Rhinolophus ferrumequinum: one gene and its partners. Each later gene encodes a partner of the first gene's protein in a complex. Links are inferred from orthologs where the notes say so. Each region holds a gene or a part of one and is shown in the gene's direction. Other genes may lie near its edges.

Region 1 (7,217 bases):
GCAGCCTGGCATGGGGCTCTGCTAATCAGGTTCCTTAGTGCCAGTGCTGTGAAGAGTGGGGTTGTGAGTGTCTGCAGCAGCTTCTAAGCCTCCGCTGGAGAGGAAGCATCTAGACAAAGGTCAGGGCCCAGATAGGCTCAGAGGTGTCCTGAGAATGACTCATCCAGGTTAGGAGGCCCATCTCATGGTAACTTGTCCTCCTACCTTCATTTTGGTAGAGACACCCGAGTAGGCCACCTGATCACCTTTGGTGAAATAGCAAGACACCCCTCTTCCCCCCCTCCCCCCCCCACTCCTACTCTAGCCTGCTCTCTCCTCACATCAGAGGACAGAGGGTTCCTTTGGGAGAACATTCCTGTACCAGTGACCCTCACGCAGCATTTATTGAGCACCTCTCAATGCGTGAGAGTCTTTCTCCCACATCACCTGCTTCCCCTTGCAAAATCCCAAACCTACACTTTATTCTGTCACCAAACAGGTGGTGAGCGCCTTTGGCCTGGAATCTAGGGGATCCCTGAGGACTGTTGAGCTGTAAGCCTCTCTGGTTCTCTGTTGGCTGCTACTTCTGCAGCTGCCCTGGAAGACTTCGGGTTCTGTGGCTTTGATCTACACATGGAGTATGTGGGGTGCCCTCATTTAAGGGTAACCAGGTAATATTCTCAGAGAGGAGGCTATGCCCTGAATCCAATCTTGAAGTATTTGTCTCTTGCCCCTCTTGACATCTCATGATGCTTTTGGTCCTACTAGATAACTCAAACTACTGGCAGATCTACAAGATGCTGGGAGGTAAAGATACCCGCCTCTCCCCACAAAACATTTGAGAGAGGAGAGGAGTTTCTGCTATTAAAAGGCATGGAAGGATCCAGCAAATGCCAGTGACTGGTTCATGCTCCCACTCCCCTCATTTCTGGGAACTCCAGGGCCTGAGACACGTTGAGTACCTCTAATGGGGACCTCAGCACTGAGCCTCAACAGCCATCAAACTCACAGCACTAGACAAAGCTGACTTTTCTCCTTCCAGTCAGGGAGAGCCCATATGGGCACCTGTATTCCGGGCCACCAACAAGCTGCTGGTTGGCAAGAGTTTGGGGGCCTCCTCTTTCCTTCATTGTCCATCTTGGCTCCTCAACCTCAGATCTGAGCCATGGGGAACCTTCTCCAATTTGCTGGAACAGGACATCCTAAGCTGCTCCTGTTGTGGTCTGGGCCACCAGCTCCCCAGCCTGCTGCTGCTAGAAGAAGGCTAGGATGTCAGTAATCAGTCCACAGCATCGCTCCACGTGCCAGGCCCTTCCTGGGAGGTGTGGGGCTCATTTGGAAAGAATCACATTTGAAGCAGGCAATTTGCAGAGAGACAGGGAGAATGGAGGAAGGGAGAAGTGCTAGGTGGCCAACTGGGCAAAGCCCTGTTTCAGCCAGGCCATTTGTGCCCATAGTTTCCCGCAGCCCAGCCTTCCCACATGGCCTGCTCAAGCCCGTCTGCCCAGCTGTCATCCCCTTTCGTGCTCCTGAGCCCTGGAGAAATGCCAGAATTTCCCTTCTCTGTCCCTTCTGCCTTCTGGGCCCCAGCTGGCCCATCCCCAAGATGTACAAACCTTCCAGCTGGAGGCTGGCTTGGAAGCAGACAGTGTAAGCAGGGCAGGGGCTAGAACTGTAGGCTTGCGTTCATGATTTAGTATTCCAAAGCCAAGCATAGGTGGGCACACTTAGCGACTGAAATGTCACCTGCTTCCGGGCCCCCTTGCCTACCAGAAAGTCATCTCCCTGAAGTAGACTTTAGACGTAGGAGACCCATGCTTGACGCAGATCTGTCCCTTTTCTAGCTGGTTGTTTTGGGCAAGTCCAGTCCAAGTTGAACCTTCTGAGTCTCCACTTCCTCATCTGTAAAATGAAGTGTTAAGTAGGGTAATTTGAGAAGGAATGAGTAAACCTGGAACTGCAGTACAGATCTTCGTTTTCCTTCTCATGCCCTCTCCCTTTGGGTCCCCTTGGATGCTGGTCAAATAGGAGCTGCTCTTGTCTGCCTGAGGGGACAGGGTGCCCCCCCAAGGCAGCTCCACCCTGCCCAGGAGCAGCCAGAGCCCTGAAACACCCAGGAAGGGGTGTGTGAGCCCATATCTCTGTGAGCCCATATCCAGGGACCCAAGGGGGGGTGAGTGGAAAATAACTTAGGTCAGAGGAGGCACTGTGAGGCTGCAGGTGGAGGTGAGCAGGTGAGGTCTCATTTCCACTGCTTTGTCCCAGAAGCCCCCAGAGTAGGTGTGTTGTGTGTGTGCAGGGCTTTTCTCCTGCCCAGACCTGGCCAGGTTTGAAGGAGGAATCCCCATGGAAGATTGATGTCACGGACTTGCCTTCCCCTCCCCCAACCTCATCCTTGGTGTTTTAAAGAAATTATTTGGACATAGGAGTTAATGGAAGTAGCTTGCTAGAGTGTGGGCAAATTCATCACTGTCTCCTTGCATTCCAAGAGCAGATTTGTCTTTCAGGGTGAGATATCCTGGAGTGACTTCCAAGGTCTGAGAAATATAGGCTCCCTTGGGAGGGCAGGGTTAGGGGCAGCTTGGGTAGGGATTTTGGGAACCTGGGGTGACTGCAAAGTGGCCTTAGGGATGGGCCGGGAGGGCTTTCCTGTTTGTTTTTCAGTTGTGGAGGGAAGGGAGGCAGAGGGTGTTGGCATTGCTGGGAATCCTGCTGACCCCACCCCCTGCAGGCCACTGCTCAGGGTGAGGAGGGCTGCTTTTGCAGCTTTTGTTGGCAGTGATGAAAGAGGGGCAGGGGGGCTGTTTGATGGGGTAGTGCTCTGGAGAGAAGAGGACTAGCGCTCTTCCCTTTCATCTCCTCATTGGAGCAGCGCAGCACTTCCTGAAGGTGGCACTCAGGGAGGAGCTCTTTTGAAAGCACACGGACCTAGTGCTGTAAAGCGTGGAGGCTGGGAGGTGGGGGGATGTGAGCAGGGAAGATAATCATGCAGGTGGGGGGCAGAACTGTCTGGGTTAAGAGAGGACTGCTGCCCCCCCGCCCCCACAGACAGGCCTTCCCCACAATCTGTGTGTGTGTGTGTGTGTGTGTGTGTGTGTGTGTGTGTGCCCTCACTCCTACATTGAATGCGAGCACAGACATACAGCTATGAAATGATTAGACGGAACATGACGAGAGACTGCGGAGGCTTGTTCCCCACCTCTCCAGCCAGTCAGATGGTTTTCCTCAGATGTTTATTTGGATTTTATTAGGTTGGTGCAAAAGTAATTGCGGTTTAAAAGGTTAAAAATAATTGCAAAAACCGCAATTACTTTTGCACCAACCTAATATTTGGTTATCTCTCTATTCTTCATTCTTGCTTCTTCCTCTTCCCTTGGTTTCTCAGTGTCCTGTCTCTTCTCTCTCTCTCTGAACTTGAAAATAGGAAGTGTTGGACAAAGACCCTTTCTACTAGCTGCCATTGTTCAGCATGTAACAAGATGGATTTAAATCAGATGAAAGAAAGAACTAGGAGTGGGGAGTAGTGGGTGGCGAGGAGAGAAGCCGACCACTAGGACCGGCTGTGGAATCCTATAGGCTCATAGACTGTTGGAGCTAAAGAGACCTGACGGACCTGCAGACAGGGAGCCAGAGGTCCTTTTGCAAACAGCTATTATTGTCTCTTATAATCTGTATCATCAGTGGGAGTTTTGGAGGTGTCCCACTGGCACCTGGGGGAGTTCTGGGGAGAAGTGGGGTCTCTCCTTTGCTCACAAGGCTGCAGAGCCCCCACTGCACACTCACTGAGATGATTCTCTGAATGTGGAACAGCCTCTTCTCTCGAGGCTCAGAGGAGGCAGGGATTTTGCTACGCAGAACATAACTTCTCCTGAAGCCAGGGACCTATGCAGCCTGGAGAGCCCTCATCAGAGCTCGGGCTGGTGCCCGGAGGCCAGGCTGCAGGGCCCTCATGCGTTGTCCTCCCAGATGGATTGCTCTCTAGACATTCCCCTCCTCGGTGACCCCTGGGGAAGTTCAGCTCTGATTAGGCTCTGGCAGTGTATAAAGCGGGCAGCCTAACGCGTGTCCCCTTTTGCTGGGGCAACTGGAATCTGCGTTTAACACTCCTTCCTTTCTTCCCCCCACGACGGGCTTCAGCGAAACCAGACAGCAGGGGGCACTCGTGAGTCATCCCAGGAGAAGATTCAGGACTGCTGTCTGCAGCCTGGACTCTGAGAGCACTGGAAATTTTGCCTGTCCACGTGTCAATCTGAGGGTAAGCAGGGCAGACCCTTTGAGAGCTGGAAGCAATCTTTTTCCAGCAGGCAGAGACAGAGACTTGAGAGAAAACTGGCTTTTCTGACTCGTCCCTGATTCCTCAGGCTAGAAGGAACCTGACTTCTGCCTCTGGGAGATCAGCTAGTAGGGCAGGTCTCCATCCAGGCTCCATGGCCAGTGCCAGATGGGGCCAGTGGTAACTCCTGGCCCCTTGCCAGCCCCAGCAGCTGACCCTGGTTTGGCTATCTTTGGGGCGCTGAATTTTCTTCAGAATGACTTCCAGTTGAATCTGTGTGGCTATGGCCCATGCCTTGCCCACTAGGTTCTTCACAATTGGGGTGGGGGTGGGGGGCTTTTTCTTTCTCCCTGATCTGACGCAGTCCTCTGTGACTGTTCCTGGACTCGTCTGCGAGTCAGATGGGGATGAGGTGAGGCATGGAGTGCTGAGCAGGTCGGTGGTACACACGTGGTCCTTTCCTGACCTGTAGCTGACACAGCCAGGGCTTTCTGGGCAGCAGCTGTTTTCAAGGCCCCACTTCTGTTTTCTTGCCAGTTGTCTCCCTCAGATGTCCTCATCTCCACCCAGTCATGCTGAAGCACCGACCCTCAGGAATTCCTCCTTCCCAGTGACAGAGCCTGTGTGGGCATTGATTTACGGGCACAGGGAGGGTAAGATGCCTGCATGCAGTGCCCAGAAGAAACGCCTGGCCTTTGGCTCTGGTACCTCCATGTCCTGTCTGTTCACAGAATGGGGAGAGTCCAGGCCAGGGTGCTAGTGGGGAGGCTGGGTTCTCTGGACTGGAGACAAAGGCTTATTGCCAGCAGAGCTGAGGGCACAGGCCCAAGTTTCTGCATTTATTCTGGGGGAGGACAAGTCCAAGTTATCCTCGAACCTGGTTTCTGACATCAGAGCCCAGAGTCACTGGTTCTCCCTAAAGTCCAGCTCTGTAGGGCCTCAGGGTTACTTTGAACATTAAGGCAGCAGGTCTTCCAGACTATGGAGGAGGAGGGTTAGAGGAAGGGAACGATAAGGACAGTGTTGGGGGCCCTGGCCAGGTCTGGCATGAGAACTGCCTCCTCTCCCTCAGTGTTTTCAGGGTCCTGACAGCCCCAGCCCACCCCCACTGAGTCATGACCTTTCAAGGTCTCTAGGGCTGTAGAGGTTAGGTGTCTCCCAGCTCTTTCAACTAGGGCATTTTCCCCGAGGTTTCCCCTAAGTTCTTCCAGCTGCAGTTTTAGCCCACCCTTTAGCTTGTGGCACATACTGGAGACCCCTGGGACACCCACCTGTGCAATTCGGGTGTGACTGGACCAGTGAGGCACAGATATGTGGAAAGGTCTGCGTCCCAGAGCAGGCTATTCATGGTTCTCAAAGGTCAGAAGTGTGACTGGGCCCTGGCGGAATGTTGGTGTTTTCAAGAAGGAAGACGGTGAGGCTTTGGGAGCAGTCTGTAGTTGGTCAGCCATATCTGAGGTCTCCTTATGCAAATAAGGCCTCAGCTGGACCAAGAAAAGACCTTTCAGAGTCACTGTGGCCCCGCCTATGTGGTCCTCTCATCCAATCTCTTGTGTTGCCTCCCCGAGCCTGGCGTCTGGCCCTCTGTGTAGGGACAAAACCTTTTCCATTCTAAATGACTGTTTACCCCTTTTCTCCAGTGTGCTGGGCGTTAGTGGGACATCATCCTGCTAAGGGAACCTCAGGCTCCTGAGACGGAAGTGAGGGAAGGCAGAAGTCACAGGCTCATTCCTGATCTAGAAGTGAGTTGGAAATTTACTGGCACAGGTGTTAGAAATGACCACTCCTCACCCACCCACCTACCCACCCACCCACCCACCCACTACCATCCCAGAAGCCTCATTTTCATAGCCCCTCCTGCTTAGGGAACTAGGAGTTTGGACTAGCTCAGTGATGGCTCCCTGATACGGAATCTGACGGCCTGTGGTGAGAAGCGGGATATAGAAATCATAATAATAACAGCTCCTATTCTGAGCACTTTCTACGGTAAGGGGTTGGTCTAAGCATTTCACATGCTTTATCTTGTATAATCTTTAAACAACCCATTAAATCATGATCCCTATTTTACAGATGAGTAAACTGAGGTACACACTTAATGACAATAACAATTAAAATCGTAATAATGATGATAAAATTTTAACAGCTTTATTTTTTTAAAAACTGATCCATGAGCAATCACATTATGTGTATATTATGAAGTCCTGGGAATTCATTATATCATCCCCATTTTCAGCTAAGGAAACTGAGGTGGAGAGAGAAGTGACTTGCCCAAGGTCACAGTCTTAGAAAGTGACCAAGCAGGAGCCGAACCCACTTCTCTCTGATTCCAAAGCAGCCTGTGCTCAGGATCCCTTAGCAACACTGCCTCCCAAGGGGCCATCATGGAGACAGCGGGTGGTTATGGAAGAGAGTTCCGTTGGCTTTTAAAAGCAGGGTGCTTGTAAACAAACAAACGAAATAACAAAAAATAAAAAAAGATAAAAAACCAAAAACAAACCAAAAAAGCAGGGTGCCCATGGGCGGGGCCCCATTACCTTTCAAGGTAGTAGCCGTGACATCTGCCATTCTGGGAAACTGTGGGAGAAGCACCCCTCATCCCCACCTGACAGTGAGGGAAGCTTTGATGCTGTCTTCTCATCTACCCAGGCTGTGTAAACACAAAAACTGCAGGAAAACAGATGCTGGAACAGGCTGGACGGGGAGGCAGGGGATGTTTGCTCTGGCCCGAAGCTTCTGCCTCCCTGCTCACCCTGAGATGTGTGCCCCCACCTTGGCAGCCTGTCCTGGGGCTGCTGTCAGTCTCTGCTCTCTTTCCCTCATCACTGTGAATCTTGCTGGGCTGCAGTTGCCTTGGTAACTTGATGGGAAGCTCTTGAGGTTTTCTGGAACCAGAAAGGGCTACGGAGAGAGAAACCGGGCTCTGTTAGGCTGCTGGTCACAAAAGGGAAGAAACCATCCCAGTGCT
Region 2 (7,305 bases), on another chromosome or scaffold:
TGAGTTGATTTTTAAAAAAATTTCTTCTCACTCCATAACCATAACCAGTCACTCGTGATTTCCTTGTCTCCCAGTCCCTGGAAACCACAGATCTGCTTTCTGTCTCTATGATTTGCTTGTTCTGGATATTTCATATAAATGGAATCATACAATATATTTTTTAAAAATTTTCTTCTCCTAGGTATTTATTGTTTTAGTCTGTTTTGGAAGTAAATTCATCACAGCTCAGCACTCTGCCCTATATAATAATCTTAATATTTCTTTTTTAAACACAATTTTATTTTCCAGCTCTTCCTTAATCTTTCACCATTTAATGGTTTCTTGTTTCTCTTTGTTTGTAAGTGGTGATGACTGTGGATAGGGAAGTTAAACTTTGAGAGTGGTAAAACTAACAACTGAATGTAATATTCAATGCATAATAAACAAAACAAAACAAAAAAGGAAGGAAAAAAAACCCAAACCAAAAGCAGTGCTGTGTCTCTAAACATATCCTCAATCCATTGACCTCTCTCCATTTTTACTGCTGCTACTGTAGTGAACTCCATGTCACTGTCACTTGACCTTCAAACTAATTTCCTTGCTTTCACTTTGTTCCGTCTTTAATCCATTTGTCACATTAGTAGCCAGATCTTTTCAAAATATGAGTTAGATCATGTCATTCTGCTGTTTAAAACTCTCACAGGCTTTTCTCTACCTAATAAAAACTCCTTTCTCTAACCTATGGAAAGAACCCTTCATATTCGGATTCCTGTCTATCCCTCCCTCATTTCCAACAGCTCTGCTGGATTCAGTGTATTTCAGCCCCACACTTGAGAGCTCTGACATTAGTAGTTACCATTGCTCATATCTTCTCATTGTTGGCCACTTCTTATCATTCAGATTTCAACTTAAATGTCACCTCCCCAGAGAGTTTGTCCCTATGTCCAATCTAGAACAAACCATGAGTCATTCTCATCAGTCTGTTTTAAATCTCTGCATAGTCCTCCATCTGAAATCTTATTTATTAAGCTTCTCTGTTCCCCTGCTAGAAAGTAACTTTTTGAGAGCAAGAGACTTGTCTGTCTCATAATTCTTGACATTTACTAGAAGAGTACCTGGCTCACAGTAGGTGCTCAAAATAACCCAAGTGGAACTAGTCTTTTTATTTTCTATTAACTGATTGTAAACAGTTTTCCCCTAATGAATATTAATCCTCGTGATGCTTTATTTGGAGATAGCTGTTTCAGATAAATTTAATTTTTAACAATTTTTCACCACTGAGCTTTCTTTTTTTATTTGTATATGATTTTATTTTTAATGTTATCTACAAATTCATTAATGTTAAATGATTCCTCCAGGATTACATAACTAGTAAGCCAAGAGACTTCATTCACTCATTCATCTGTTGTGAAATATGAGAGATAAGGCTGAGCTGGGTGCACTTAAAATGCAGGCCGGCTTGGACGTACACACATCAGGGGGTGGCTTGGAACGACTCAGTCTGATCTTTCTGGGCAATAGTCCCTCATCCACAGAGGGGTACAAGTTGGTGGGGGAGGGCACCGTAGGACCAAGGACAGGGTCACTCGCACTCTCTTCAGGTCCCTGACTGTGGCTTGACGGTGAAGAGCTTTTTTCCTGTGGAGGTGGGCAGGCTCTGGCCTTCCTCTTGAGCACAAGAGTGTCAGACAAGTTCTCTGCGTTCTGTCGGTTGCACCTCTCCTGGGACGCCTCCTCCCCCGACGACTTCAACCTCACTGCCCCGAGAGGACAGGGAGTCTGGGTAACAGGCAGTGGCGTTCGAGGGCGGCGGCTGGATGCCACCACCCTGGCAGAGATCGGTGCAGCGCTTGGAGGTTGTAAGCACTCCCGGTTCAGTCTTCTGCACTGAGGGGCCTTCACCAACTTCCCACCCTCTAGCTGAAGGGATTCTAGCTCAGATACTCGGAGCTGACGGGCTCATCCTGGGCTTCTTCTCGAGATACTTCCATCTCTGAGGTATACAAGAAATCTACCAGCTCTGGGGATACACTATTACTAGAAAGACACTGTTCATGCCTTCATAGAGCTTATCTTCTGATGGAGGAGACAGGCACACACACACACACGGAAGGCAAAATACTTGCAAGTTGTTAGTGGTGATGTGAGGGAAGCAAGACCAATCCATTTCTAGAAAATCATAGAATTTTTAGAATATGGCTCTGATCTAGGAACCAACCAGTCAACAAACATTTCTTGTACTGATTGTTTTCCTTCGGCAATCATCTTTGGCTTTTGAATTTGTTATGGAGGAGCAGGAATAGATGGAACGTAGAGGTAGAAGATGTGATAAGGAAATACGGGAAGATTCGTAGATAATGAAAGGCTGTTCATTTCTCTGTTGAATGTATTCGTTTCCCATTCTAGTTCATTTAAAGCCCATCAAACAACTGCTGTGATGCCTGTTTGGTCTTCCTGCACTTCTGAGAGAAGTCCTTTTTGGCCACTTTAGACTAATGGAGTCTGTGGGACTATAGACCAAATATGAGGGGGTGGATAATGACTAGATCTGCCTGATTAGAAAATCACATTCATGCTGAGGAGGAGTGGAATTGGAATTCCAGTTTGGATAATAAGGAAAGGTCAGATTATGGTTAATAAGTGTTACTTTAGTATACTGAATGAATAAATGTGGCTCCTTGAAAGCAGATGAGGATCTTAGCCTTTATCCTGATCACAGTGTAAGATGATGGAAAGAACGTGGACTTTGGAGTCAGATTGCTGAGGGCTTTACTTCTTAGCCAGATTTCAGGCAAGTTTCTTACCCTTGCTGAGTGAGCCTTGATTTCCTCATCTGGAAAATGGTGGTCATAGTATTCTATGGTGGTGTTTTAGAAGTTACAGCTAATGAGTGCAAAGTGCCTCTCACGTGATAGATTCTCCATCATTGGTTGCTATTATTGGGCAATGATGAGCCAATGAAACTTTTCTGGGCAGGTTAGATACTGATAATAATAACAGCTCATTCTTAGTGAGTTTGTACTGTGCCATACATTGTTTAAAGAACTTTATGTGTATTTTAATGCTCACAACAGTCCTGTGAGAGAGAGATAGTTATTATCTTCATTTTATAGTTAAGGAAACTGAGGCACATAGAGAAGATATAATTTGTCCAAGGTCACATAGTAAGTGTAGAGAGGAGGAAGGTTTGAAGCCAGGTAGTCTGCCTGCAGAACCTATACTCTTAACCACTATTCTAGATTATGAAAACTTTATGAAGATTCATCAGCAGTCTACAGGATAGATTTTAGATTTTTCAGTAAGATAGGAAAAGGAAAATTTCAATTTATTACCATCATCGTTTAGTAACTACTGAATGACCATAAAATACTAGTCTTTGTTAAGTTTGTAAAAAAAAAAAAAAATCCAGTCTCTGATCTTCATGACCTAACAGTATAGAACATACTAAGATAACTCTTTACTCAGAAGAATACCTGTATAATCCTTAATTTAGGTCAAGTGTAAAAAGAGAATGTATGAACTAGATTATCTTAAACTTGAAGTTCACAATGCAGGCGAATATTCTTGATGTGAGACTGACTTTTCCTTACACATGCTGTTATCGCCTCTAAATGTATTGCTTGTTTATTGGATTCCATTTATCCTTCCCCTCAAACCGATATTATTTTAATTTGGGGCAAAAGGGAAGACAGTGATTGGCCTTAACTGCCCAGTGGATTCAGCTTCCTTCTAGTTGAAAGTATAGACGCTAAGAACTGTTAACAAGTGCAGACCTTTATTTTTTCTAATTAGCTCTAATGCAATTAAACCAAAACAATGAAATTGAGAGTTTACCTCAGATATCTCCTACCATCCCAATCAACACGTAATAATCCTGTTTTTTAGGATTTTTCTCTCCCACCCTTCCTGTCTTCCTTTGGGAGAATGCTTTGGGGTAGAAAGCAACAAACCAAATAGCAGCAGGCATATAAAATCAGCTCTTTTCTCTTTCTCCACCCGGAAGGGAAGGGAGAGGGAGCAAGAACACCACCATCAAAGGGAACTGATTCTTAGGCAGGCCATTCTAAAACTCCCTTGTTCTTCTACCCCCCCGCCCCCACCAGAGCTCTGCAGTAATTCTTCAGAGATTGTATGGTCTCTACTTTAAATATAAATATATATATAAAACTTCCCCCTGTCTGTCTCCTCCTCTCTCTCCTTCCCCCCCATTTCCTATAATAAAGTTTCCTATTGGATAAAATCAGCTCCCTGATTTATGCCTGGCTCCTATTGGAAGTTCTCAGGGGCTGACATCACTTAGGAAAGCGAGGGGGTAGGGCTGCCAGATCAGTTTGTCACCACCCAGGCTCCCTATCCTTTGGCTGGGTGCAACTTCCATTTTAGGTGTTGGAGCTGAGAGAAAAAAAAAAAAGAGGGAGAGAGAGAAAGAAGACCAGGAAAGATCCTGAAAGGAGGAAGAGGCCGTGAAAAATCACCTACCTTGCTGGATTTGTCTTTCTCACCACATTGACGAAGCCTTGGGTTTCTTTCTTAAAGGACTGGTTTTTAGAAGTCCACATCTGAGGTGTGTGCCTTTTTAAAAAATGTGTACAGACGGGTAAAGGAGGATACGCCAAGTCGAATTTTTGTCTTACGGTAACCTGAGGAAATTTAAAGACGAGAGTCTGCTATGTTAATGGGTGACTTTTAAGCAATTATTAATTTATTTTTCTACTTACTTTGGGGAATTGTATTATATTAAAAAAAGGTAAAATATTCAAGACCCAGAAACAAACTTCTAGGTCTCTCTAATAGAGGGCGATGAATAGATTCAGAAGGGTGAGAGCAATTCTGTAAATTTACAATTTGGTGTGTTCTTTGATTTTATATCTTTTTCTGGATTAAGCTAACAAACTTCTGTTTTCAGAGCCTAAACCAAAGGTTGGTTTTTTTTTGGCATGTTGCGTGTGGGTTGGGAAAGGAATTTGTCCGGGTCGGAAGCTAGTTATACATATGGCTCTTCATATGTTTCAAAACTTTTTTTTTCATCTTTTATCATTAGATTTGTGGAAGCGAAAAGTTGCAGGGAGTTTTGTAGCTTAAATGGTGGTGTTCCCCCCCTAGAGTTTGAACGGCCCAGATCGGTTTCAGCCCTGCTGTCCTGGGTGGATCCCTCTTTTACTTTTCCAGGTGTGGTGGGTGGGAGCCTCATCCTCCTGCTAGACGTTGCCTCCCTGCTTTGCCTTATAAGAGAAAACAGATGGATCCATGTTAAATGAATTGTTATCTCCTTTTCTTCTAAAAACTACCTTCGATGGCAAGATGTGTTGTTGGATGTTCAATCTGCAAATATGAAAGTGTTTGGTTTATGTGCTTAAAGGCATAAGGAAATTGTAATCATGCTTTTTAGTTCACCTAAGTGGCAATACACCTGAAAATATTTTCAGCTTTGTGCTCTCTTAAAGGGCCATGGATTAAATAAGGTTAGGCTAAGAGAAAACACTTATATAAACTTTAGTGTTCAGAATGAATTTGAGAAAGCACAAGGGGAGTTCTTATTTTAAAACAAACAGTTCTTTTTTGGAGGTGAGTTTTTTGTTTGCTATAAAATCAAAAATCTGTTAAGAGCTGAAGGCCCATGACTGCTTTCATATTTTACATTTAATCTTAAGATTTGTTTTTGCAAATGCATTCTTGCAAAAATACTGATTCTAGATAATTACATAGCCAACTCATCAGTAGCTGAAAACTGGGTGTTCTCTTCCTTCTCCCTTTGAAAATGCGAATCAGTCTGAAAATTATAGCTGGATTAGATACTGCCCTAATTGTAACAAGATGGGCCTTAATATGTAAACTGCTCATTAGCTTTAAACTGGAATCTACCTATAATCTCTGATTTTGTGCCCCTTCTAAACCCAGTTTTTAGACGAGAACACTTCCTTGAATTTCTTTTCTAGAACTGAGATTATTTCTTGAAAGATGATTTCATACTTGTAAGTTTGTGGCTTCACAGGAAACTAAACTAATATAATCTATGCAAGGGCTACAGTAAGATTTTAATACCTGGATCTCATAATTATAGCAAGTGCAGTTAAAAAGGAAGAAAAAAAGCCAATGTGTACAGTCTGTTGGGTTATAGTTCTTATTTAATATTTTCCAGTTTTTCTTTCAAATGTTCTCTCTGCCTTGACTCCAGCCTAGAGAGGTTTCTTGGTGGATCTTTGAAGGGTTGGTCATGTTGCTGCCAGAGTGTCGGTTTCCTACTCAACCTTTAGGGGGAGGGATGAGGGAATCTGAAGAAGGAGTACAAAGGCAGTTTGAAAATAGGTTCTGGATGACTGAGTGGTGGTGCTTTGGGTCCAGCTTTAAATATTGGGCTTTGTGTAGCCGCAGTAAGTATCCTAGTTAACTATCAGCCAGGACTATTTCCCCGAACTGAGGCATTGTTTTGACTGGTATGTACCATAGAGCCTTTTGCATGATAAGATGGAAGATTGTCTTTTACCTCACCTCTACCAGTTCTTTCAGGAAATATAGTCAGGGATGCGAATAAGTACATCCTTTTATTTTTTTTGTTTCGCTCCTCCTTTTGGTTTTGGGGTAAAAAATGACTAGTAAGTATGAGTTGTGCAGATTTTTCTTTCCTTGTTTGACTCCTGTATACTGTTGGTTTCTTTGTTATATGACTAAGGTATGTACGGTCTGTGTTCCAGGTGGGGGTCTCTTGTGGGTGGTTAGAGTTCTAGTGCCTTTCTTAGGGTTCCAGTTACAGAGAGTCAGAAGGGCTAGAACATGTTCTTTCAGGTAGTATAAAAATTGGTACTATTGGAAATCTTAGGAAAAAAACGAAAAGCTCCAAGTAATTGCAATTCACTTAGGTTTATGAGGTAGCTGCTCCCTAAGGATGGCTGCAAATAAATTAAGCATAGATCACTATTCATTTGGAATAACAAAATGATTAGCTCTGTATAATTTATTGCTTTCTATTTTGATACTTGATGGCCCCGTTACTAACTGCCAGGCCCTCCCCACCTTGTTTTTTTACTGCTTAGCATTTTTTATGCTTAGCCTTTTGCATAAACCATTTATTTAATTTCCCACAACAACTGTTGTTGTTTTTTTTTGTTTGTTTGTTTTAAAGGAATTTGAGCCTCATAGAAGCTGAGGTTTGCTGAAAATCTCATTGCCCATAAGGGACCAAGGCTAGGCTTAAACCCTGGTCTGACTAACTACAAAGTCCACGGACTTAACCACTAATACCCTGCCATTCTCCAGAGAGAATAGAAAAAAGATCCAGAACTAAAATGAGCCCTTGCTAGAGGCCAGAGTGCTTTATCTTGCAGAGGG
Region 3 (7,956 bases), on another chromosome or scaffold:
CTATCTGCAATTTTGTAGGTTCTGCACTTTTTATTCTCTCGGTGTCAATATTAAAAGTAGCCCACACATTTCCAGGCACGTCGATTAAATTAGGGATTTTTTTTCCCCTCTGGGATTCTTCCTCTTCTATATCAAGAATAGGGTATAAGGAACATAAAAGATCAAGTTCAGTTTACTTAGGAAATTCTAAGGTGAGGTCTCCCTTGGAGACAAAAATGTATTAGCCCTTTGAATTTAGAAAGATCTCTACCTGATATATACAGATCACAGCAGAAAGGAGTGGTTTTCAGTGAGAGGACCCAGAGTATTTGTACTGGCTGAGATCAGAACTCTCTGAATTTTATTAGATACCACCACTATGGAAACTTCTTTTTCACTCCAAGGAATTGGCTATCCTGTAAGAATGGGGTTTAAAGTAGAGAGTGTAGCTCTGATATCTGTCAGAATTTGGCAGTTTCTCATTCATTTTCATTTTAGTTTTCCCTTGACTGTGTAAGGGAATTACTGGCCGCAGTTTACCAAGAGCCTCTTGGAGTCCTGTCAGCTCTCAAAGGGACCCCTGTGGGGCCTCCCCTGGGGGCCGACATGGAGCATTTGAGTTGACATGAAAGAATTTGCCCAAGACATTTGAGGATAATCTTTTATCCAGTATCCCCATTGATTACGAAAGGGACCCTGACCTCGGGGGGGCCAGCATTTTGGCGATGGACCCCTAGGTGGGTGCAACCTGGCAGCCCAGGTGTTCGTTCAGTTGTCTGGCTGTGAAGCTGTGCAGCTAAGCGGCTAACAGCTGAGCAGACTTTTGTTTATGGTCTTGTTCCAAAGTCCTTTCCAAGTATTCAGCTGTGGTTACAAGTTCAGTCATCCTGGTGGCCTCCCAACCTATTTTTGCCTTTTTATCAATCCATTAATATAAGGAGATAATCCATTTATAGTCAAGAGCAGGCTGGCTGACATCGTTTATGTAAGGGACTCAGAGCGCTGAAGGAGGAGAGCCTTGGAAAGCCCTTAGGTCAGCCAAAGTCCCCTTCCTTTTATTTGCCTGTCTGAATGATACACCAGTCATTGTGGACAGAGAAGAGTCCAGAATCTCTTAGAAGCTCAGCGGCTGTATTGCAAGCTTTCCTGGTACTTAAGGGAGACCAGGGACCACGTGCATAAGATGGTAAAGACCTGGCAGCCCAGGGTCACAGGCCCCGATAAAGACTCCCAATTCTTCGGGAAACTTTGGGGGACCATCCCTGGGTTTAGAAAATTCTTTAACCATAGTTCTTTGACCACAGGCCCTTATTCTTTAACCACAGGCCCTCAGTTTGGTGTTTGATCAAGGAGTGAAAGATACCTGGAGAGGGGTCACCTGCAGTCTCGGTCGTCTTATTTTAGTAGGCAGCTGTTTAGTGGTCTCTTCTGAGGGGAAAGGCAGTTCAGAGGGAGGATGAGGACTCGGGTACAGGATAGAGGGGGTGGCACGAGGCACGTCTGTCTTATGGTCTTTGGTTTAGGTGCCTCTTGTGTCTTTAATTTTTCATTAGCCTTTTGTAACAGATTCTTCAGTGAAGCTACTTTGGGGCTGTTGAAGGCTTCTGGAAGCTTCTGCACACCCATTAAAATAGATATCCCATTCTCTTGGTTTGATTTGGGATCCCTTGCTTTCAAGGCACTTCTTAGTGAACGATCTTGATTAACTGGGACATTCCCTGTAATGGCCATTGTAATTCTAGGTTGTCTTTAGAAAGATTTTGCCATTTTTGTAGGTGTTTGTAGCTCCTGGGACCATAGTTAAAATAAGTAAAGGCGCCTGATGGTGGCACACTCCACTCTTTGGAACGTAAGGATTCCATTTTAGCTCAGCTTGGGTTTCTTGTAGCCAGTTTAACACCTAAGAGGGATGTGTTCCTGGGCTGGGGACTGTGTGATGTATACCTCACGGCATGAAAATTTTCCTGTGGTCGGGTTGTGATCTGTGTCGATCTAACTCGTTGTGTGACCAACTTATGCCAACTCGGAGTCTTAGAGTTAAGTGATGAACGCTCTAACAGCTTTTATGCACTTGAGCGGTGCCGACCCATTTTTGCCTTTGAGCTTATGTGATTCCCATTATCAATAGACTTCACCACATGTGCACACTGCATCAACACGCCAGCAGTAATCAGAGAGACGTCACTGCGACTGGCCAAGGAATGGCCTTCGGTATATGCCACCAGCAGTTCCCAACATGGAGCTGTGGACTGAAACCGCCGACCCCAACAAATGGGGACTTTGGGTGAACCAAGGGCTAGGGACTAGGGTTCTGGTGGGACCATCTGCCAGCTCAGGCTGATCCACAAAGCCCTGGACTGGGACATGGGCTAACCAAGGGCTGGGGACTGGCACTCTGTCAGGGCCCTCTGTCAGTCCAGACTGACCCGTGAATCCCGGACTGGAAAGCCAACTAGACTGGGAGCCCACACAAAGAGAGTGGAGCTGTTACCGAGAGGAACTTACCCACAGCACTCGGAAGTGGCAAGAAAGACAGAGAACTCCAAGGGATCAGGGATACTAGTGCCTGTGTTTCTTGTCCCTGAAGCCATCAGAAGTTTCCTTCGGATTCTACCACTGCCACCAAATCTGTTAAAAAACAAAATTCAACTCAGTAAATTATAAAGGTCTTATTGGCTTTATTCAGCAATTCATGAATCGGGCAACATCCCATCTAGCAGACAGAAAGAAGCCCAGAGGAGCTGGACAAATGAAAGGCATTTTAGGCAGAAGGGGGCGGGATAAGGAAGTTACACTGGCAAGGTCACCTTCCCTTAGGGGGTGGCGGGGGTTGGGGGCGTCTATCAGGCAGACGACCTCACGACTGCTGAGCCGGTCATTCCAGACAGATTGGTTCAAGGCTCCATTTCTGGGTGAGGTTGAAACCATAATTAAGTTAGGTATTAAACCTTGGTTTGGAGATGTGGGGTGGAGCACGTGTGACTCCATTTTGGGCCTATTGTCTCTTTTATAACACTGTCAAGACAATTTGAGCAAACCGATGAGGATGGATGACTAACCCCCACCCCTACCCACACACACAGCCTACCAGTTGCAACTGCTGAAATGAAAATAGAGACAGTGGAATCAAGATTAGAGAAATAGAGGGCTTGTTCCATTGGTACTTAGTGGATGGAGTTAACACTGCACACGCTTGTTGGTTGTGAGCAGCTTTCTACAGTTGGGGAGGGAGAGTCCTGGGGTTGTTACACTGCTGTCGAGTTCTCCCCTGTAACACCCCCAGGAGGCGGTGCGTGGTAGGGGTGAAGGCTGTGCGCCTGGATTGGGTTGCTTAGCATCCTAACCCAGGCTCGTCCACTTCTGGCGGAGGCTCTCGGCTAACTACTTGACCTTGGTTCTCACATTGGCGTAAGTTGGACTCTTCCAGGGAGCTGGAAAAGTCCCAATATCTGGATGCCACCCCCAGAGGTTCAGACTGAGCTGATCTGGGGTGTGACCCGGGCATCAGGGTTTTAACCTAACCTTGTTAAGCCTCATTTCTTCCCCTGAAAAAGGATTTGTACTAACCTGCCCTGGAGGTTGTGAGAGTAAATGAGGAAACGCACGGAAGAGCTTGGCACAGTAACGGCTGAGCCGGTGTGTCCGTATGTCTGTGTCTTTCTGTTTTTCTAGCTATAGTATTGTTATTGCTGCTGCTTTTTTAATCTGGAAAATTCTGAATCTAGTTATCTTAATAAGACGTTAGCATTTATGCTCTGCCTGATTAATTCACTCAACCGCCTCATTCAAGAACAACAGAGCTGGTGAGCTGGTCGACTGCAGAAGGTGAGGACGACACTGAGGTTTTGTCTCCTCTCCAGCCTCAGTTTCTCCTTCGGTAAATGAGGGTGTGAGACAGGGTGTCTTTGAGAGTCCTTTCAACACGAAAGCTCTGGAAGTTTATTTTGCTGTGATAGCACATAAATGGCACAGCGGTAGTTACATAAGACCTGGCTAGACTGCTGAAAAAAAGGTGTGAGATGGTGAACGACGACACTTTGCAGGAGACGCCTGAAATTCCACGTCATTGTGTGTACATGTCTGCGTGTGTGTGTGTGTGTGTGTGTGTGTGTGTGTGTGTGTGTGAGATTTCCCCTCTGTGTATGCACACCTTGGAAATTCACTTGTCTGGGTGATGCAAAAAGACTAGAAACTTACGAGTATAATGGCTGAAATCGTTTTGTAAGTGCCCTTATATTTCCCATCCTTGCCAATTTTAAGCAGTTAGTCCAAAGAGGACAACTTTTAAAAGATTTACATCTATAATGTGATGGGGGAGAAAACTTTATTGAGAATCCAGAGAGCTTTTGCTTATGAGGGCTATATTTACTGGTACTTTATTTCAGATGGGGATTTTTAAACCTGTCTCTCAATTCATTAAATATAACAAGAATAAACCCATTACATGTTAATATAATTACCCATTTTTATGAAAAATAGCCCTGTTTTTAAAAGTTCCATTTAGTTTGAAGAGTGGCACTGTCTCTGGTTCTCTTGAATGGACAGTTTACTGTCCTGCTTTGTTAATTAACGTAACAGTAGAATGTTATGGTTTTAAAGGCCCCCACCACTGGTAACACCAGATCAGAACTCCTTTGTCAGTTCTGCAGTTACAGAAGAGAAGTGGTAGTTACCGTGTTTCCCCGAAAATAAGTTCTAACCAGAAAATAAGCCCTAGCATGATTTTTTGGGGTGACATCCCCTGAACATAAGCCCTAATACGTCTTTTGGAACAAAAATTAATATAAGACCCGGTCTTATTTTCGGGGAAACACAGGATGAACGGAGGCGTCAAGAACAAGGAATTATATTTATCAAACTAAATGCAGACATTCTTTTTTCCACTCGAGTTCTAGAAGGTCTGTGTGACTTCAGGCAGTTTCTACCCGATTCTGATAAGTATATTCCCCACTAATTAATGCCATTTTAATTTTTAAGGTCAACATGATCAACAGCTTCCAACAAGAGAATGATGATCTTACCAATCAAACACAGGCGGGTTTGGAAGTCAGTTTCTTAATAAATCAAGTGAGACTACGCTTTGCTTAGAGACTGGATTGCAATTCCACGTTTTTTAGTGCCCTGTCGATGTTTGGTTGGCAGGAAACGAATTAGTAACTAGACGTGGGCTTTTAGAATCTTGAGGGACTGCCCGAGAACTGCAGATGGTGCTTTGATGTCTAATTACAGGATGAGCAATCTGCGAGCATCAAAAATCAGCCCAGAGGTTTATCCACGCCATTTGCTCCTTTACGGAATAAAAATACAGTGGACTTAATATTTCTAGCGGGTGGGTGTGGGGCAGCAAACCAACCACCATCCTCACACCACCTTAGGACCATTTCCTCCCTGTTGTTCTTGTGATAAACTCACTTTCTAGCTAAGTTATTATTTCTTTTAAATGTACATTTTTCTGGATAGAAATGAATGTGGCTATGAACCAGGTTCAATTGTAATAGACGGCAACTGTACAGTACATATATAAATAGAATACAGACAAAGCCACCCTGTTAACGTCTGTCTATATTCTCTTGCCTGACAAATCTCTGAGCCCAATGTCTGAGTCTGTCTCTTTCTGCCTCTGTTACAAGGGAGATTGGTAGACAGAGAGGCGTTACCTATCCAGCACTGAATGGAGACGTTCTCATCAATGATTTCAGGAAGACGGAGACATAGAGAGGGAATAACTCTCTCATTCATTCAACAGCTATTTGCATGTCTACCACAGGACAGGCGTAAGCACATAATAAGTACTGCTCGTTAATGCTCTGTCTGCACAGCCCCTAAAATTACTTCATGAACCATGTAAAACCATTGGGTGGCAGATGCCCCTCCATGCAGAAACGACCAGAGTTATTACGAGAACAGGCACTTGGAATTTCTCAGCATTGAAGGCTGTTGTGAGAATGAGAAAGAGAATTCCTCCCAAGGGCTAGCCCAGTGCCGGCAAGCATCACCACCCACCTCCTTCTCACCACTGTCACCATCATTTGCAGGGAGAGAGCCACCAGTCTCTGCGGCGATCCAAGAGACGATGGATTATCAGCACCTTGGAACTGGAGGAGGAAGACACAGGACCCTTCCCCAAGTTTGTTGGGGAGGTAAGACAGCTATGCTTACGGCACGGCCCCCATCACCCTCTCTGACTAGGCAGGGCCCCTCCGGAGAGGACGAAGTCTTGACAGGCTGCGTGCTGGTGAGGCCAGGGAGTGAAGCGGTGGGAGAGGCCCTGGGCTGGGGCTCGCGTCGTGACGGTGGGCAAGCCACTTCTCCGGGCGAGTGTCACCGAGAGAATCAGAATCGTCTGTGGCAACACGATGGCTATTTCCAGGCTGCAGCCCTCTTTTATTTGGCCCATGCAGTCATTTTTTAAAAATTCATTATTCAAAAATAAGGAGATTGTAGTCCCTAGAGGCGGGGGGTGGGGGCAAAAGGGATAGTAAAATAAAAAAGAAAGTAAAACAGTAGGTGCCGGGGGTGGGGTGGGGATGAGGTGCTGGGGAGTCAATGTTTAAATGGTACAGAGTTTCCGTTTTACAAGATGAAAAGTGTTCTGAGACGGAGGGTGGTGATGGTCGCACAACAATGAGATGGTCCAACAATGAGAATGGACAGAATGCCACTGAACTGCACGCTTACAAATGGGGAAGAAGGTAAATTGAATGTTATGTGTATTTTACAATTAAAAATGGAAAAGAAGAGATTGTATTATAATTCTACACTTCTGGAGACTTTCTAAAAATTGGAAGCTCTGCCCACACGGAGCCTGCATTCTCACACAGCAAGGAGGAGATGGGGCCTGGCTTACCCAGGACGTCCCACTGTCTCCCTCGCTCGGACGCTGAGTACCAGCTGAAGCACCAGAGAAGACACTCGGTGATGTTGGAATGCTGGAATTTTCACACCTGCCCCATGCAGGTCCTTTTCGTTCCCTTCCTGACCCCAATGGGCCTTTGAATTATGTACTGAGTCCCCTACAGCTCTGACATTCTCTGATTCCTAGAAAACACTGAAACATCATACATATTTTTGCCATGTTTATAAAAATAGTATATGCCTACTATTAGAAAGAAAACATCTACAGGAAGTCTTCAAAGCTCAGGGGTTAGAAGTATAAACTCCCCGCGTCAGGGGGACTGCATGGGTTCGAATCCCAGACGTAGCACACCCTTCCCACGTGGGAGCCCCAACCTGCTCCCCACCAGTGGCACCCTTGAGAGTGCTGGCATCACAGGGTTGTTTCACAGGTTCAGCAGGTGACGGCAAGAAGCCCCACGGCAAACTGGCTCACTCAGCTTTCTAAAGGTTTGCTGTGTGCCTCACGCCTCTCGACCTGGACGGAAGGATCCCCTGTATTAACAATCAGTACATATTCCTGCAGACACTTCTCTCCATTTACTGACGTGAATCTGTTAACAGAACGGGACTATACGATGCACACCGACCTTCAGGTCGCCTCTCCTGCTTCCCCACGTGTCATACCCGTTTTTACGGCCGTTCACATACACCCTGAAAAGCTGCCAAGTCCCATTCTAGGTGACAGGGTACTGTTACACGACTTGTTCCATACGGGTAGACATTTATGTTGTTTCTCATTTTCACCATTAAAAGCCAACTTGCCACCATATTCCCTGTTCCTGCATCTTTGTATATCCATTTATTTCTTTAGGATAAATCCTCAGACGTGCAATTGCTGAGTCTGGTTCTTCAAAAACGCCTTTGAATCTGAGCCTTGATATTGGACGTGCATAGTGTTTTTTTTCTCATCCTCATCTTCGTTTTTTTCTCCTTGCAGCTGTTCAATCATATGTCTGAAAACACGTCAATGTATTTCATCAGTGGACCTGGTGTGGATGAATACCCAGAGATTGGTTTATTTTCTATAGAAGATCATATGAATGGAAAAATATATGTGCACCGCCCTGTTGATCGAGAGAA

Evidence for each region. Proteins that work in one complex are often made in the same cells at the same time.
Region 2: CTNNA1 (region 1) and CTNND1 share a complex: the UniProt entries of both Homo sapiens proteins name them as parts of the cadherin:catenin adhesion complex. The link is inferred for Rhinolophus ferrumequinum from reciprocal best matches to the Homo sapiens genes CTNNA1 and CTNND1.
Region 3: CTNNA1 (region 1) and CDH26 share a complex: the UniProt entries of both Homo sapiens proteins name them as parts of the cadherin:catenin adhesion complex. The link is inferred for Rhinolophus ferrumequinum from reciprocal best matches to the Homo sapiens genes CTNNA1 and CDH26.

The regions. Positions count from the first base shown.
Region 1 is NC_046307.1:13,646,097-13,653,313, forward strand, and holds the start of CTNNA1 (catenin alpha-1), read left to right. Parts: upstream 1-4,215; 5' UTR 4,216-4,234; intron 4,235-7,217. UniProt on the Homo sapiens protein: Associates with the cytoplasmic domain of a variety of cadherins. The association of catenins to cadherins produces a complex which is linked to the actin filament network, and which seems to be of primary importance for cadherins cell-adhesion properties.
Region 2 is NC_046294.1:11,450,634-11,457,938, reverse strand, and holds the start of CTNND1 (catenin delta-1), read left to right. Parts: upstream 1-4,305; 5' UTR 4,306-4,543; intron 4,544-7,305. UniProt on the Homo sapiens protein: Key regulator of cell-cell adhesion that associates with and regulates the cell adhesion properties of both C-, E- and N-cadherins, being critical for their surface stability.
Region 3 is NC_046306.1:2,668,169-2,676,124, reverse strand, and holds the start of CDH26 (cadherin-like protein 26), read left to right. Parts: upstream 1-4,956; 5' UTR 4,957-4,962; coding exon 4,963-5,046; intron 5,047-6,014; coding exon 6,015-6,119; intron 6,120-7,813; coding exon 7,814-7,956. UniProt on the Homo sapiens protein: Cadherins are calcium-dependent cell adhesion proteins. They preferentially interact with themselves in a homophilic manner in connecting cells; cadherins may thus contribute to the sorting of heterogeneous cell types.